Ovis aries: one gene and its partner. The protein of the gene in region 1 purifies or fractionates together with the protein of each later gene. This does not show direct contact. Links are inferred from orthologs where the notes say so. Each region holds a gene or a part of one and is shown on either strand. Other genes may lie near its edges.

The links. The genes of interacting proteins can lie anywhere in the genome.
Region 2: the proteins of WDR48 (region 1) and PPP1R9B purify together in Homo sapiens (affinity purification with mass spectrometry; 3 studies listed by BioGRID and IntAct, with this or other methods). This does not show direct contact. The link is inferred for Ovis aries from reciprocal best matches to the Homo sapiens genes WDR48 and PPP1R9B.

Annotation. Positions count from the first base shown.
Region 1 is NC_056072.1:12,417,991-12,424,752, reverse strand, and holds part of WDR48 (WD repeat-containing protein 48), read right to left. Parts: intron 5,904-6,762; coding exon 5,808-5,903; intron 3,713-5,807; coding exon 3,607-3,712; intron 2,668-3,606; coding exon 2,580-2,667; intron 1,906-2,579; coding exon 1,870-1,905; intron 225-1,869; coding exon 148-224; intron 1-147. UniProt on the Homo sapiens protein: Regulator of deubiquitinating complexes, which acts as a strong activator of USP1, USP12 and USP46. Enhances the USP1-mediated deubiquitination of FANCD2; USP1 being almost inactive by itself.
Region 2 is NC_056064.1:36,238,106-36,245,383, reverse strand, and holds the start of PPP1R9B (neurabin-2), read right to left. Parts: upstream 4,734-7,278; 5' UTR 4,124-4,733; coding exon 2,753-4,123; intron 1-2,752. UniProt on the Homo sapiens protein: Seems to act as a scaffold protein in multiple signaling pathways. Modulates excitatory synaptic transmission and dendritic spine morphology. Binds to actin filaments (F-actin) and shows cross-linking activity. Binds along the sides of the F-actin.

The sequences.
Region 1 (6,762 bases):
TGAATGGTTAAATTGTATGACTTCAGTTTTATGGAATAGCCTAAGATCTAGTACTTGCCTCCTGTGCTATGAACGTAATCATAAGGAATAAAAAAGTCTCTGGCAATTAATCAGATCAAAGTATTGCACGACACTCCATTTACTTACTTTTTTAAGGTTTTTGCTCCTGAAGAAGCATGAGGTTGGAGGTAGAAAGGAATTTTGTTGAATTTGGGCATATTTTTCTGAAATATTAAAAGTGAAAAAAAGTAAAATAGTGTCTATTAATTGATAAACTAAAATGATGTCAATACTTGTGAAAACATGATTCATAAGTTAATTGCTATTGTACATTTAAAAGTGACTTTCTATGAAATTTATAGTAAGCTCTCAAATTATGTCAGCCTTAGAGACAGGGTATCAGAAAAGTATAAAGTTTAATTTTGTAATAAAACATATATAAAGACAAATCATATGCAGTGTCAGTAGCAGTATAAAATGGCAGCATGGCTCTTCTCAAGTAACAATTCAAGGTATTAAAGGGAAACAAACTTTATTTTAATCCTTTAAGCCATACAAACCAAAATCTCAAGTCTACATTCAAATGCCAGAACAAAAATTTAAGTATCTTGAGAGAAACCCACAACATTCACTTTTGAGCAAAACCATACACTCTATGCTGGTAAGGTCCATTATCCACCTCTAAAGGTCAATCAAGTCCTCCTAACTTGCTTTACCTCTGACATCAGAGTGAGGTCTGTCTGAGGTTTCAAATAAGAGTGGAAAGTTCAGCCAACCACCTAGATGTCCATATGATGTAAACCATACACTTAGATAAAGGATAAAATTAATTGGTCATCTTTGCTATGGGGATTAATCCCCTTTGAGCCTCCATGTCATATCCTCTTCGGATGTTTCCTCCAGGGAATAAGCCACAGGCCTAAAGTCAGCAATGCATCCGAGTGAGTTTCACACTCAAAGGAAGTAGTGGTTTATGGGGAGCTCAAATTTAGAGAAGACTAGAATATCCATCAGGTGTCAGACTGGCTTTAAGTTCTTGGAAGTTTATCTGGGACAGAAAACAAATTTTCTAGAAGGTTCTAGAGATTAAATCTCTTTTCATGAGGCTTTAAATAGACATAAAATTGGTCAATAGCACATAACTAGAAACAGACCTATGTGTGTATAGAAATTTAGTATATGATAAAACAGCATTTCAAATTAGTAGGAAAAGTTTAGATGATTCAATAAATTGTGTTGACACACTGGCTACCCATTTGGAGAAAGTTAGCATCTTACTTCACTTCACACCAAACAGAATAAATTCACCAAATAGAATAAATTCTAATACTTTAATGATCTAGATACAAACTATTATCATAAACATACTAGAAGAGAACACAAGAAAATATTTTTGCTACTCTGGAGTGCGAAATACCTAAGCAAGACATGAAACTCACAGCCATAAAGGATTAATCTGGTCATATAAAAATTAAAACTTTTTGCCTGCCAAAGGACATCATGAGCAAAGTAAAAATTCAATCAAGAGGCAAGAGAATGGTCAAAGGGTTAATATTCAGTATGAAGAACTATTACAAGTCAATAAGAAAGACAAATAACCCAATAGAAAGTCGAGTAAAGAATACAAACAGGCAACTTACAAAAGAAATAAAAATGGCCACTATGAAAAGATGCTTAACCTCACTGTAAGTTAAAAAAATTTAGAACAATGAGACAATATGTCTATCTTTCAGCAAAGATTCTAAGTATCCAGCATTGGTGAGGGTGTGGGGTTCTGGGCACTCACACACTGTTGGTGAGAGTGTAAACTGGTATACCCTTAGTGGAGTGCAATTTGGCAGTATCCATTGAAATTTAAAATGTGCATACCCTTTGATCCAGCAATTCCACTTCTAGGAATTTACCCTAAAAAGTACACAAAGATATATATACAAGGATGTTCACTGAAGCATTGTTTTTAACAGAAAACATTGGGTACAACCTAAATGTCCATTAATAGGGACTGGCTAAATAAACCATGGTACATTTATACAACAAAATATGCAGTCATTAAGAAGAAGTGATCCATACACTAATATGAAAAAATGTCCAAAATATATTTTTAAGTGAAAAACAAAACAAAAAAACACATCCAAGTTGTAGAACAGTACAGAACAGCAAATTCTGTGCAAAATAAAATGACCTACATATGGATCACATATATCTAGACACACATATACAGACACAAACACATACTTGTGTATGCACAGAAGAAGGTCCTGAAGGCATTAAGCTATTAATATTTACTACCTCTGGGAAGAAGAAGAGGAAGTGAATGGAAGACAGTGTTTGGAAAAGGATGGGAATTTCACCTTATTCATTTATTATTTTCTTTGATAAACACATTTTATATATTAAAAATAAAGATAGAAAGAGACATAATTATAATATTTCTCTGCAGCTTTGGAACTGCACAGAAGCAGAAGAGGATTCCACTTGGCAGTCTAGTTTCAATCAAAGATTATACAATTTAATACAGTAAATTTTCTTCATGATTTGGAAAAAAATAAGAGGACAAAGTGGGAGTGGAGGACACTTACATCCACAGTGATGTCAATTACCCATTGTGGCACCGTCTCATTAAGAAGCATGGACTCAGTCTCACCCCCAGAATCTCGGCAGAGCAGCCTAAACATAATCCATCATGTAGTAAGTGACAAAATAAGCACGGATCCCAATATCACTATCATTAAATGTTAGAGGGAGGGAGCTTATAGAGTTCATTCAGGATCACCCCCAACTGACAGCTGAGGAAATAAAGTAGAAGGCAGGCAGAATGACTCACTCTGCTAAGAGTGAAAGCAAGCTGTCAAACTCAGGCTCCCAGATTCGAGGCCAGACGGACACTGTGGCTGCCTGTTGGGGCCCCTGGGTGAGGACAGGAAGCTGGGTGTAGGCAAGGCACTTGAGGTCGCTCAGCAGAGCTACAGTGCACGGTAGTCCATGCACAACATGGGGTCAGGCGGTTTTCAGTGACCACACTCTCAGGAAATCACCATCAAGGAAGAGAATTCTGCTCTCAAGGGCAAGACAAATAGCTTTCTTACTTCTGGCCCATGGCTTTCTCCCATGACATTTCCTGGGCCTTGGCTAGCAACTTGGAGGTGAAGCCAGCCTAGCACTTGCCTGCAGGCCCTCAAGAAGGACTGCCTTGCACCTCAGGTCGAGCCATTGTTGGGCATGACAGTTCCCAGGAGCAGCCCAGTCCATCTCCCCTGGCCTGGTCTGAGGGAAGTTATCTACTCAGATGTTGTCCTGTGGGTGGGGACTTCTGGTGAAGTCATCTGTCCCTGGCAGTCTGGCTGGTTAAGTGAGAAAAAGCACTTCCTGCAGAAACTGCTAAGAAGCTGCCTTGAGGCAAGGTTATCAACCTCCACAAGGTATCAACCTCATTTTACCACTAGAGGCTCAGCTCTGAATTAAGATGGGGTCTAACAGCATCAGACACTTAACTATTTCAGGGAGGTGAAAAACCAAAACCCAGACACCCCTAGAAATTAATAGACATTTGCTTGAATCAAAACTTCAGGGCAAACAGGGTGCACTCTTAGCCCTTCCTACCCATACCTGAAGAGGGTGCGGCCTCCAGCTTCACCGAAGATCACAGGGGTGTGTGGCGGCACTTGAAAGTAGCCATTTCCTTTCTGTACTCGGTTCTCCTGCTCCCCGTTTACTAGGAAAAGACACAGATGGCGTCAGGATCCAGTCAGCGCTAACAACATGGACTCTAAACATTTTGTTTCCACAGGACCCAACCATTGCAAGACTTAAGTCAAGAAGTCCTGTAAGTCAGCTAGAGATGGAAATAAAGGTAAAAAACAAAGTGAAGTTCCTGAAAATAAGAAATACGGCAATGTGCGATATACCTCACGAGAAATGATTACATTTTAGAGGAGATTAATGTTTGAGATTTAAAACAAAAACATAACCATCTACTTCAGCCACAGGGCAGTCTAGAACAGTCTATAAACAATGATCTGCTCTTTCCTTTGGCGCTGGTGGGGTGGGGATTGGTAAAACACCAAGCACAGAGAAATTTGTGTCAGAAACAAAGTTTATATTTAATGGCAGCCACAACTAACGGTATTAGTGAAAAACAAAATCTCAAAGAGGTCATAAACTCATTTTTATTGCTCTCTGCAGATTTCATTTTAGTCAGATTTCATTTCAGTCAGCTCTCTGCAGCTGACTCCCCCTTGTTCATAACTACTTTCTGAAGGAATCTGGAAGCAATCTCACCCTCTGCAACCCAACAACACTCTCTCACAGCACCAACTCTGATCACACAATGCAGATGTAAGCGGTGCTTTGTCCAACCAGAATGCTAGTCCCTGAATGGAGGGATCCATGTCCATCTATCCCTATTATCCTCACAACTCACTTCAGGCCTCCGAATACTCGAGCTGCCCACCTCGTATAACCCAAGCAGCTTGAGGGTCCGCTGTGTGTCGTGCAGGTCCAGCAGGATTACCAGCCAGGTAGTGCGAGCCGTGTCCTGAGCTTGGCTCAGTCCTGCCCTGCCTTCACTAGGCCAATTTGATTCTAAGGATGATTTAACGTTTCCTGTGACTTATTCTTTACTCCCCCAACCGAAGTCTGCCTTCAAGAGATGCTGCCTGGGGCCCTTTGTTTCGATTACGTGGTCTTTATTGGCTCCTTGGGCCTCCGAGGGCACCGTCAGGTTATAGATGGAGAAAGACAAGTCAAGAACAGGAAATGGCATGCCCGCAGCTGCACAGCTGATAAAACGGCAGAGCCCACAGCAGAACCTAGCTTTCTCGACCCTGTGAGCAGATCTTTCCACTGACTCTGGCTCACAGTTCACTGTACAATTCAGAAGGGGAATGAAGCGAGCCAGGTGACAGAAGAAAGGCCATCATGTGTGGGGTCAGTGCTCTCTCTCAGACAGGGACATCAGGACACTGGCTTACAGAGAGGCATGCCATCCTTGCAAAACAGATTTAAACTCCAAAATTTATTCTGGATGAATCAGTCAGCCACAACAAACTCTCTGGCAGGAGGGCTTCATCACTGCTGACCACCACAAATAGGCAATCTTCAGAGAATCTTTAGCAGAGCAAGTCCTCAGTGGGGGGACTCAAGGTTATGTATCAGCTGTGATATTTTAAGTTTTTCCCCTCCTTTCTTGAATCAGACTGAGCCAAACTCATATGTTCCAAATTCTCCCGGGCTGCCCAGTGAGTTACTGCTGCTGCCTGTGGCACACACAGCTTTGGAATGTCCTCAATGACATTAATTCTTTACACATACTCAGTCACTTACCCTGGCACTTCTGAATTGGGAGCTGCTTTTTTGAGCCAATATCAGGTAGATCATCAGACTAGGGAATATCTACCTTTCAGGCCAATGTGAGGCATGCCTCACAACAACAAACCTGGCTTTCCAATGCAGCTAAATAGCTAGCTTTGGAGGTAAATCCAGCAGGTCCATGGATACCTTGAGAAATACTGTTAGAATGAACCTGCTAAGCTGCCTACTTTCAAGGACAAAGGTCACCTGAATACACAGGATTGATTCCATATACCTTGTGTAGTAATTAAAAGTTCTTCGATATCTCAGTTAAGACTGGATGGACGTTCTTTAGCATGTAGAAGGGAGGGCAATAAATTGAGCATACCCCAACTATTATGTCATACTTTAGCAAATGCTTAAAAAAATTTTTTAAAAAAATTCTCAGGATAACAATCTAAATATCCTTAACTTCAGAGTAATTTTAAAACCAATTATCCTAATATAAAAATACGAACCATGATTTACTTCATTTTCTTCTTCATCTATTGGATTCACATGTGTCCTAGGCCAATATTCTAGGAGTGCCTGGAGTAAAAGTCCTCCTAAGTTCACTGCAAGAGAGTCAATTAAAATAGAAACAAAAAAAACAGAAAAGAGAAACATTAGTTTTAACTTAAAAATAGAGGGAAAGCAATAAAAATGAAAAGCTTCCACATATTCTGATGTTACATTCTTAACCCAATGCCAAGGATGTCTAAAAGCAAGACTTTACGTATTTCACAAAGTCTATTAAAATTTCATCTTACAATGTTTAAAGCAGTGATAATATCAAGCAAACAGATATTCTATTTGGTTATTCAGATATAGCTGTTCTTTGAAAATGAATAAACAACAACTGAAATTGTATTCTTTAAAGGGCTATTTCCATATAAAGCCACTATATTTTGTATATATATCAGTTATTTCTACAGGCTACAATCTTAGAAGAATACTGATCAAAGATATAATTAATAAAATATAATAGACTCTTATGAAGATAAGTCTCTTCTCAACATACACAAAAATTAACTCAACAGGGACTAAAGAGATGAATGTAAGACTTGAAACCACAATACTCCCAGAAGAAAACACAGGCAGTAAGCTTGCTGACAATGATATTGGTGGATGATTTTTTTTGGATCTTACACCAAAAGCAAAGGCAATGAAGGCAAAAGTAAGTAAGTGGAACTATATCAAACTAACAAGCTTTTATAGAGCAAAGGAAATCATCAACAAAATGAAAAGGCAACCTACGGAACAGGAGAAAATATTTGCAAATTATTTATCTGAAATGGGTTAATATCCAAAATATATAAAAAATTCATACAACTCAATAGCAAAAAAATGGAAAAATCTGACTAAAAAATTGGGCAGAAGAGCTGAATAGACATTTTTCCAAAGAAGACATACAGATGGCCAACAGGCACATGA
Region 2 (7,278 bases), on another chromosome or scaffold:
ACAGGTTGGCACCACTTGGAGCCAAGCGGGGGCGATGAAGGGTAGCAGCAGCTCTATCAGATGGCTGGGCCTGAGGCCTGAGCAGCTGGAGTGGGACACTGTCTCCCCCGAGGCCCCTGCCAGGGTCCCTCTCCTCCAGAAGCAGGCGCTACGGGCACCCAGGCCAGCAGCTCTTGTGTCCCAGCCTTGGTTTAGTGTCACCCCCCCAAGCACCATGGCTCCCACCAGGGGGCTCTAGCTGGGAGGGGCCTACATGGTCACTTAACTCACTGCCCTCAACTTTACAGCATCAGAGAAAGAGCGCAAACCCTTAGCGTTCTTTGTCGATGGTGCAGCAGTCAGACTGCCCTCTCGACATCTGGCCAGTAGCCCCAAGCTCCTGGGAGAAATGGGCCACCTAGTCCACATACAATGCACGATGCTAGACCCACTGTCCAAGGTCATGGGAGCCAGCCCATAGCAGGGTGGGATGAGACTGGTGGGTAGGTCACTGGACTTTGTCCCCGCTGCACACAGGTCCCAAGCCCCAGGACGGGGCTGCCATGCGCCTAGATCTCGCAAACTGGCTTTGGCCCACTTCTGCATGCCAGTCCCTTGACCCTCACCCTCTACCCCAGCAGAGAGGGTCTCTTCATCCCTCAGTCTATGTGGCAGCCTGGGTCAACCAAACTCCTCCCCACCACGAGTAAGCGCATGCAATCACACAAACACAGACACACACTGTGACCTCCAAAACACCCTCACAGCCTGTCCTAGGCTTTGTCCTCCCTTCTTTTCTCAGATTATTAAATCCTGCCCCCTGCAGGAAACTCAGGCGGGAGGGTCAGAGGCCTCAGACCACCATTCACACTGCCCACCTCCATGTGTCCAGCCTATCCGAGGGCCCTGGGTCCAGTCCCCCTCTCCAGATAACTATCTAGAATTGAGGTTTCTGTCCTCAGCGGAAGCCTCTGTATTGTGGGCAACAATTGGGTCATCCGAGGGGCACAAGACCTTGGACTTAGTATCAGTGCAGGGGTGGGGGCAGAGAGAGGGAAAAACTGGGTGGGGAGGAAGACATCCCCAGCAAGGTCAAAAGTCAGACACACAAAGCGGCACCACACACCACAGGCGAGCAACTGTCACCAGGGAGTCAGGGAGCACTGCTCCAAATCATGTGCTATTTTTTACCCAAAAATCAGGGTAAGGTGTCAAATATAGACAGTCAGAGGCTCAGGACTAAAAGACCAAACTCTACCTCTGAGGGGATCAGGCAGTTCAGAGAACTGCTGTGGCAGGGCCGTGGGGTGTCCTGACCCCCTCAGTGGTCCCCACTTGCATCCTCAGTGTCCCAAGAAACACCCCATATCCTTCAGTTCTCTGCCTCCAGGATCCCAGCACTTCAGAAAAGGAGAGGAGAGGCAAAAAGGCTTGTGAGGTCACAGCCTGGGGGAAGGGGCTGGCCTGAGTGGCGAGCTGTACTTCCCAGGCCCCCTGGGGTGGGAGGTGGAAGAGGAACAGAGGTTAAGATGCTGGGGCAGGTGGGAGGAAATGGGCAGCTTCAGTGTCCAGGAGTTATGGAAATTTCAATCAAACAGAGGGGGGGTTTGACTGGGGAGGGGTAAAGGCTGAACTTTCCTTGGCCTTGACACCCCCATACAGCAGACTTGGACTTGGGCACAGCTGAGCTAGGGGTGGTGAGAAAAAGTCTTTAAGCTGAATGTGCCAGCCAAGAATAGAGGGTAGAGCACTGCAGGCGGATTCTTTACCATCTGAGCCACCAGGGAAGCCTCAGGAAACTGGGGGCTGGGGTTCTTAATTCTCCCAGGGATCTCTCCCAGCACTCTCCTGAGGATCTGAGGGCACTGGCACAACCCACAAACCAATCACCAACAGTGTATGTGCCCCCCAAAAGGGAGGATCTTCTGTCCTTTCAGGGTACCCAGAGAATGAGGCAAGAGCGCTTGGTGCCTGCCAACACCAAGAGCAAAAGCAGGAGGCTGCTGCCAGGCACCTGGGAGTTTCCCAGCCCCACCCCCTCCTCCTCCATACCCTGCTGAAGGCCTAGGCTCCTCAAAACCCACAGAAAGTGCCTGCCTATGTAACCTTGTACCCCCACCTCGGGAGCTGGCCCAGCACAGACCCCAGGGAACTGGGCCCCCAGTCACATGGTCCCAGCTCAGCTCAACCTCAGAGACTTGCTTCCCTCTTTCACTTCTGCAAAGTTGGGGTGAGGGCTACAGCCAGTTTGAAGGAGGGGCTGCACCTTCGTTTTGGGAAGTTTCTGGCTCCTCCACCCCCGTGTGCAGCTCTGGTGCAGGAGGAAAGCAGGGGTGTTTCTAAGCTCCTCATGCCCCTCCGATCCAGAGCAGAGTAAGGACCAAAGCGGGGGTGCTCTTCTGAGGTCACAGGTACACACACACACACACCTTCCCACCACTTAAGCCCAGGCCTCTGGCAGTCTCCGGAGGGAGAATGTCTGGAAAAGGAAGGGAAAGCAGGTGTCCCAGGACCGGCGCATGGCAGGGTGGGGCAGCAGGCAGAGGAACCCGAGGGCAGGTCAGGGCAGGCCACCTCATCTCAGGCCTAAATACTCTCCCCCGCTGACAAACAGCTGGAAGTCCCCCACGCCCCCCTCAGGGAGGTAACTTCTGGGAAGGGGGCTGGGTGACAGGGCTGACTCAGCCTGCCAAAGCCGGCTGGCTGGCGAGGCGGGGGCGACTGCGCGCACGTGGCAGGGGCGGCGCGGGGGCGGGGAGGGGGGCTCACTCACTTGGATGGGCGCTGTGCTGAAATGGATCTTTCGGCTCGGGGCCGGGTCCTCTTCTTCCGAGAGCCCTGGGATCTCCACGCACCCCGACTCGGGCTCGTAGGGGGGCTCCCCCTCCTCCTCCTCTTCGTCGTCCTCCTCCAGGGCACTGCCCCCAGAGTCCTCCCCCAGCCCACTGTAGGCGCTCACGTCCACCAAGTCCGCCTCCGAGAAGTCCTCCTTTTTGGACTCGTCTATGTCCTCGGGGGCCACGTCCGGGGCCCGGCCATTGCCCACCCCCTTTTCAGGCACCGCCACGGTCGCCGCCTCCTCCTCGGGAGCCGCCTGAGCCTTCTGCTCCTCAGGCGCCGGGCTAGCGGTGGTTGCCAAGGCGCTGCCATTCTCCAGGGCCGCGTGGACTGTCACCTCCGCCTGGATCACCTCTGTGGGCGCTGCCTCGGCCTCCGACTCCCCGCTCTCCTCCACCTCCACCGGCTTAATCTTGCGCACCTCCCGGGGCTTGGGGGGCGGCCGGGCGGGGGCCACTCGGTGCTGCGGGGGCTGCTGCCCGCCGGGGCCGCGCTCCTTCTCGGCTGGGGCATCCCCCGACGGGGCGGGCGGCGGCGGGGGCGGCTGAAACACCCGGGACCGCTTACTGACCAGCTTCGAGTTGACCTGGGGAATCCCGGCGGCCGCGGCCCTGGGCAGCCCGGGCCCGCGGTGGAGGCCGGTCCTCGAGTCGGCCTTCTCAAAGACAGCGCTTAGCTGGCTGACCGTCGGAGACACAGCGTCGGCGTCCAGCTTGTCCAGCGCCTCGGTACTGCCGTTGAAGCGCACCACGACGTCCAGCTTCCGGTCCTGCAGGCCAGCGCGCTCCTGCCTCAGCAGCCGCCGCGCCGCGGCCTCCTTGTCGCCGCCCGCGGCCGCGGGGACGCTCCGTTCGAACAGCTTCCGCGTCTCTTGCAACCGGGACGGCGGGTGTGGCGGCGGCGCGGGCTGCGCGGAGGGCGCGGGCTTGGAGTCGAAGCGGCTCACGCGCTCCGATACGCTGGTGCCCAGCTTCAACAGGGCGCTATGGTCCACGTTCTCGTTCAGGCTGCTGGCCCGCGGCAACGACAAGCGCACGCCGCGCTCGGGCGCCCGCAGGGCCTCGGTGGGGCCCGCGCCGCCGCTCGCATCACCCGGCGCGCCCGCCGTCGTGCCCATCTGCAGGAACATACTTTTGATGCGATGGACGTTGGAGCCATATTTCTTGTGGTGGGCTGCCTTGGGTGCCTCGTCGGGCCCGGGCGCGTCGGGAGGTTTCAGAGCCTGGATGCCCGCCTCGTAGGCGCTGCGGTGCGGGGAGGCGCTCCGGAGGGGACCCCCAGGCCCCCGTGGCTCCGTCTTCATCATAGTGGGGGGAGCTGGGTTCACATCCCAACGCTTCCCGCTCCCCCCTTCCAACAGGCGGCGGGCCAAGTCGGGACCACCGCCCCCTCCCCCAGAGAAAAGGAACCCCGAAAGGCCTTTTTAAAGCCTCCCCCCAAAACCAAGCTACCCAAAACAGTTAACCTCGCTTTAAAAAAAAAAAGGAAAAAAGAATCTCCGAGCGCCCTGTGCGGATCGCCTCCCCCAACCAAGCTGCCAAAGACAGCCCGCCCTTCTACCAAAGCCCGAGCGGCCTGGTATGGTGGCCCCCACCCAAATTAGAAAAGCGGCGCTCGGAGCCGGTGGGACCGCTTGCCCTGCAGCAGCGGAGGCGCCCGCTCACATCGTCCGAGGCGGTGTCAGCGGGGCTGGTAGCCCCGGCACCCCCTACCCCGGTCGGGGGCCTTGGCTCTCCAGGGGCCCGGCACCCGGGCGCCCATAGCTGCTCGGCCGGCCCGGGCCGCTCCGCCGCCGCCGCCGCCGCGCCACCCTCCCTCCCTCCCTCCCCCCCGCGCCCCGAGCCTCGGTCTTTCTCTGGCTCTGCCCGAGCGGCGGCTGCCGGAGACCAAGCGGCTGCCCTTCTCGCCGCCGCCGCTGGGGGACTGGCATCTCTGGGTCCTAAAGGGATCGAATTTCCGGGACCGGAGCCTGTGAGCCCTCCCCTTCCCCTCCACCCCAATGCATACTCCTCCCCTACCGGCCCTCGCCATAGCCTTCCGCTGACCCCAGTGGTTGGCCAGTCTTCTTCAACCCTTCCATCCCAACCTCTGACTGTAGCTTCTCACAACATATATAACCTCACCCCCCCATTAAATATTAAGTAAGTGTGTTAGTCCCTCAGTCGTGTCGACTCTGCGACCCTATGGACTGTAGCCCACCAGGCTCCTCTATCCATGGAATTGTCCAGGCAAGGATACTAGAGTGGTTTGCCATTTCCTCCTCCGGGGAATCTTCCTGACCCAGGGATTGAACCCCAGGCTCCTGCATTGCAGGGAGATTCTTTGCCGCCTGAGCTACCAGGGAAGCCCTTCACTAAATATTGGGGGAAGGCAGTCCAACCACTCAGTAGCCTCAGTGTGGGCCTCTACTCTTGAGTGTGGAGGGGGAATAATGGGGGAGGGACAAAGGATCATTTTCAAGATTCTCAGAGCTGCCTAGTTTGAACTTTTTTAAAATTCAGATTTCTGGATCCTCCCCCAGACTTTGTGAAGCAGAATCTCAGAGGCTGGCCTTGGAATCTGCATTTTAACAATAGGGAACCTTTGTACTTTTTAAGGTGTGAAACTTTGGCCCGATGTTTCTGGTCTCATGGTGGAGGAGAAAGGGAAAGAAAGGAATGGTCCTCATCACCCATGTGGCCGCCTGAAGCTGGCTTTTGCCCTCTGGAATTCTGAAGAGGGTATGCTATCAACTGCCTGCATTGGGCCCAGGTTGGAAATGAGGGGTGGAATCCCTGTCTTCAGGGCCTTACTAGGGCATTCCTGCCTCTCAAACAGGAAGAAGGAGTTTTGGAGGAGGAATTCTGGAGGCCTGGGGCCCGGGTTTCACCAGTGAGAGCTCTAGCTTTTATCTCTCATCTAAAGGATTCTGGCCACTGTGTGAAAGTGTGACTGCAGGGAGGGAGGGGAAGGGTGGCAGTGACATCTACGTCTGCTGTCCTGGCAGCTGTTTTGATACTCCCCTCAACCCCCCATGCATAACAAGGGGCCTGAGACTGCCCTGTACCCTTGCTCAGGGCCTGGGAGTGAAGGTCCACCCCCTTGGCCATGATAGATGGAGATGCGCAGCCTCACTCCACAGAGCCCAGAAAATAATGAACATTGTGGACCCTAGGACCCAGAGAACACCTCAGGCACAAAGCCTCCCCCCACTCCCAGCTGCTTCCTGCATCTCAGGCCTTCCTGCAGCCTCTGCCTCCTCCCCCTCCCTCTTCCCTTCCATCCTCTTCCTCTTCTTTCCGATCTCCCACCACCCGCCCCCCTTGCCTAGAAGGGCTGTTCAAAGGAATTCTCTCTTCCCTCCACTGTCGGGATGTGTGTGGGTTTTGTGGGATATAAGCTGGGTAGCACGTGCAAAAGCTCGTGGGGGATGGGGTGTGGGATGCCTCCTGGGAACCCTGAATATTGGGACAGGGAGGGGCCAGGAGCCACAGGACTGATCTTGAGGCTGGCAATCCTGAGGCTAAGGGACAGGGAAGATTTGGACTCTGAGCAGGAGCTTCAGTGACTTGGGTTTCCAAGCTCAAGTCTGGGACTTGACCCTCCCCACCTACAGGCCCCACCCCCAACGTCATTCTGGAAGTTGGGTGAGACAGAAGTCTCACTAGTTGAGTGTTTGGGCAGTGTCCTCAAAAGCTCTTGTGTGGATTGAGGGAGGGCTCAGGCCCCAGGGTATTCTGCCCAGAATCTCCCACACCCTTTGATGAGTCATTCTAACTGATCCCAGCCCAAGGGGTCTGTGCCCACGCTTCTGGCCAGGTAGGGAAGCCAGCTTCTAAGGATGGGAGGAGGAGCTAAGAACCAACTGTCAGGTCCAGTAGACACCCCACCCCCCAGCTCCAGCCCCCAACAACATCTCCAGCAGCAGCTTGGGTTGAACTCTAATTGTTGGGATGCTTGGGTCTCTCTTGTCCTGAGACTTCCAAGAGTAAAACCCCTTTAAGTACTTTGGGATGCAGGAAGATTGGAGCCAGCCCAGAGCTCAGATGACTGAGGCTAAGGAAAGGGAATCATTATCTCCTGGGCTCCCAGTTAGCTTAGTGGACCACCCCCCACCTCACCGCCCCCGACCACCCCAGACAAGATTCCCAAAGCAGCTTTTATGAAGCAATGAGTGCTTTAGCTTGTCCTTCCCTGGGGTCAGGCGCCAGGCAGGCTAGCCTGTGAGAGGGGTGGGGAATGGGGTGTTATCTTCTCCACCCATCCCTGCCTGCCCGAGGCAGTAATCACACCTGCAGAAAGAGGAGGGTGAGGAGGACGGTTACTTTGGGAATGGTTACGCCCAAACTGAAGGGTTTTAACCTAAGTTTCATTCCTCAGGCTGAGATCCTCACTCAGCTCCCAGAGTAATTTAACCATTATTTCTCTCTCCTTTATCCTTTGTGCGGTTGCCCGGTAGTCTTCTAACCCTTCCTTAGCTCT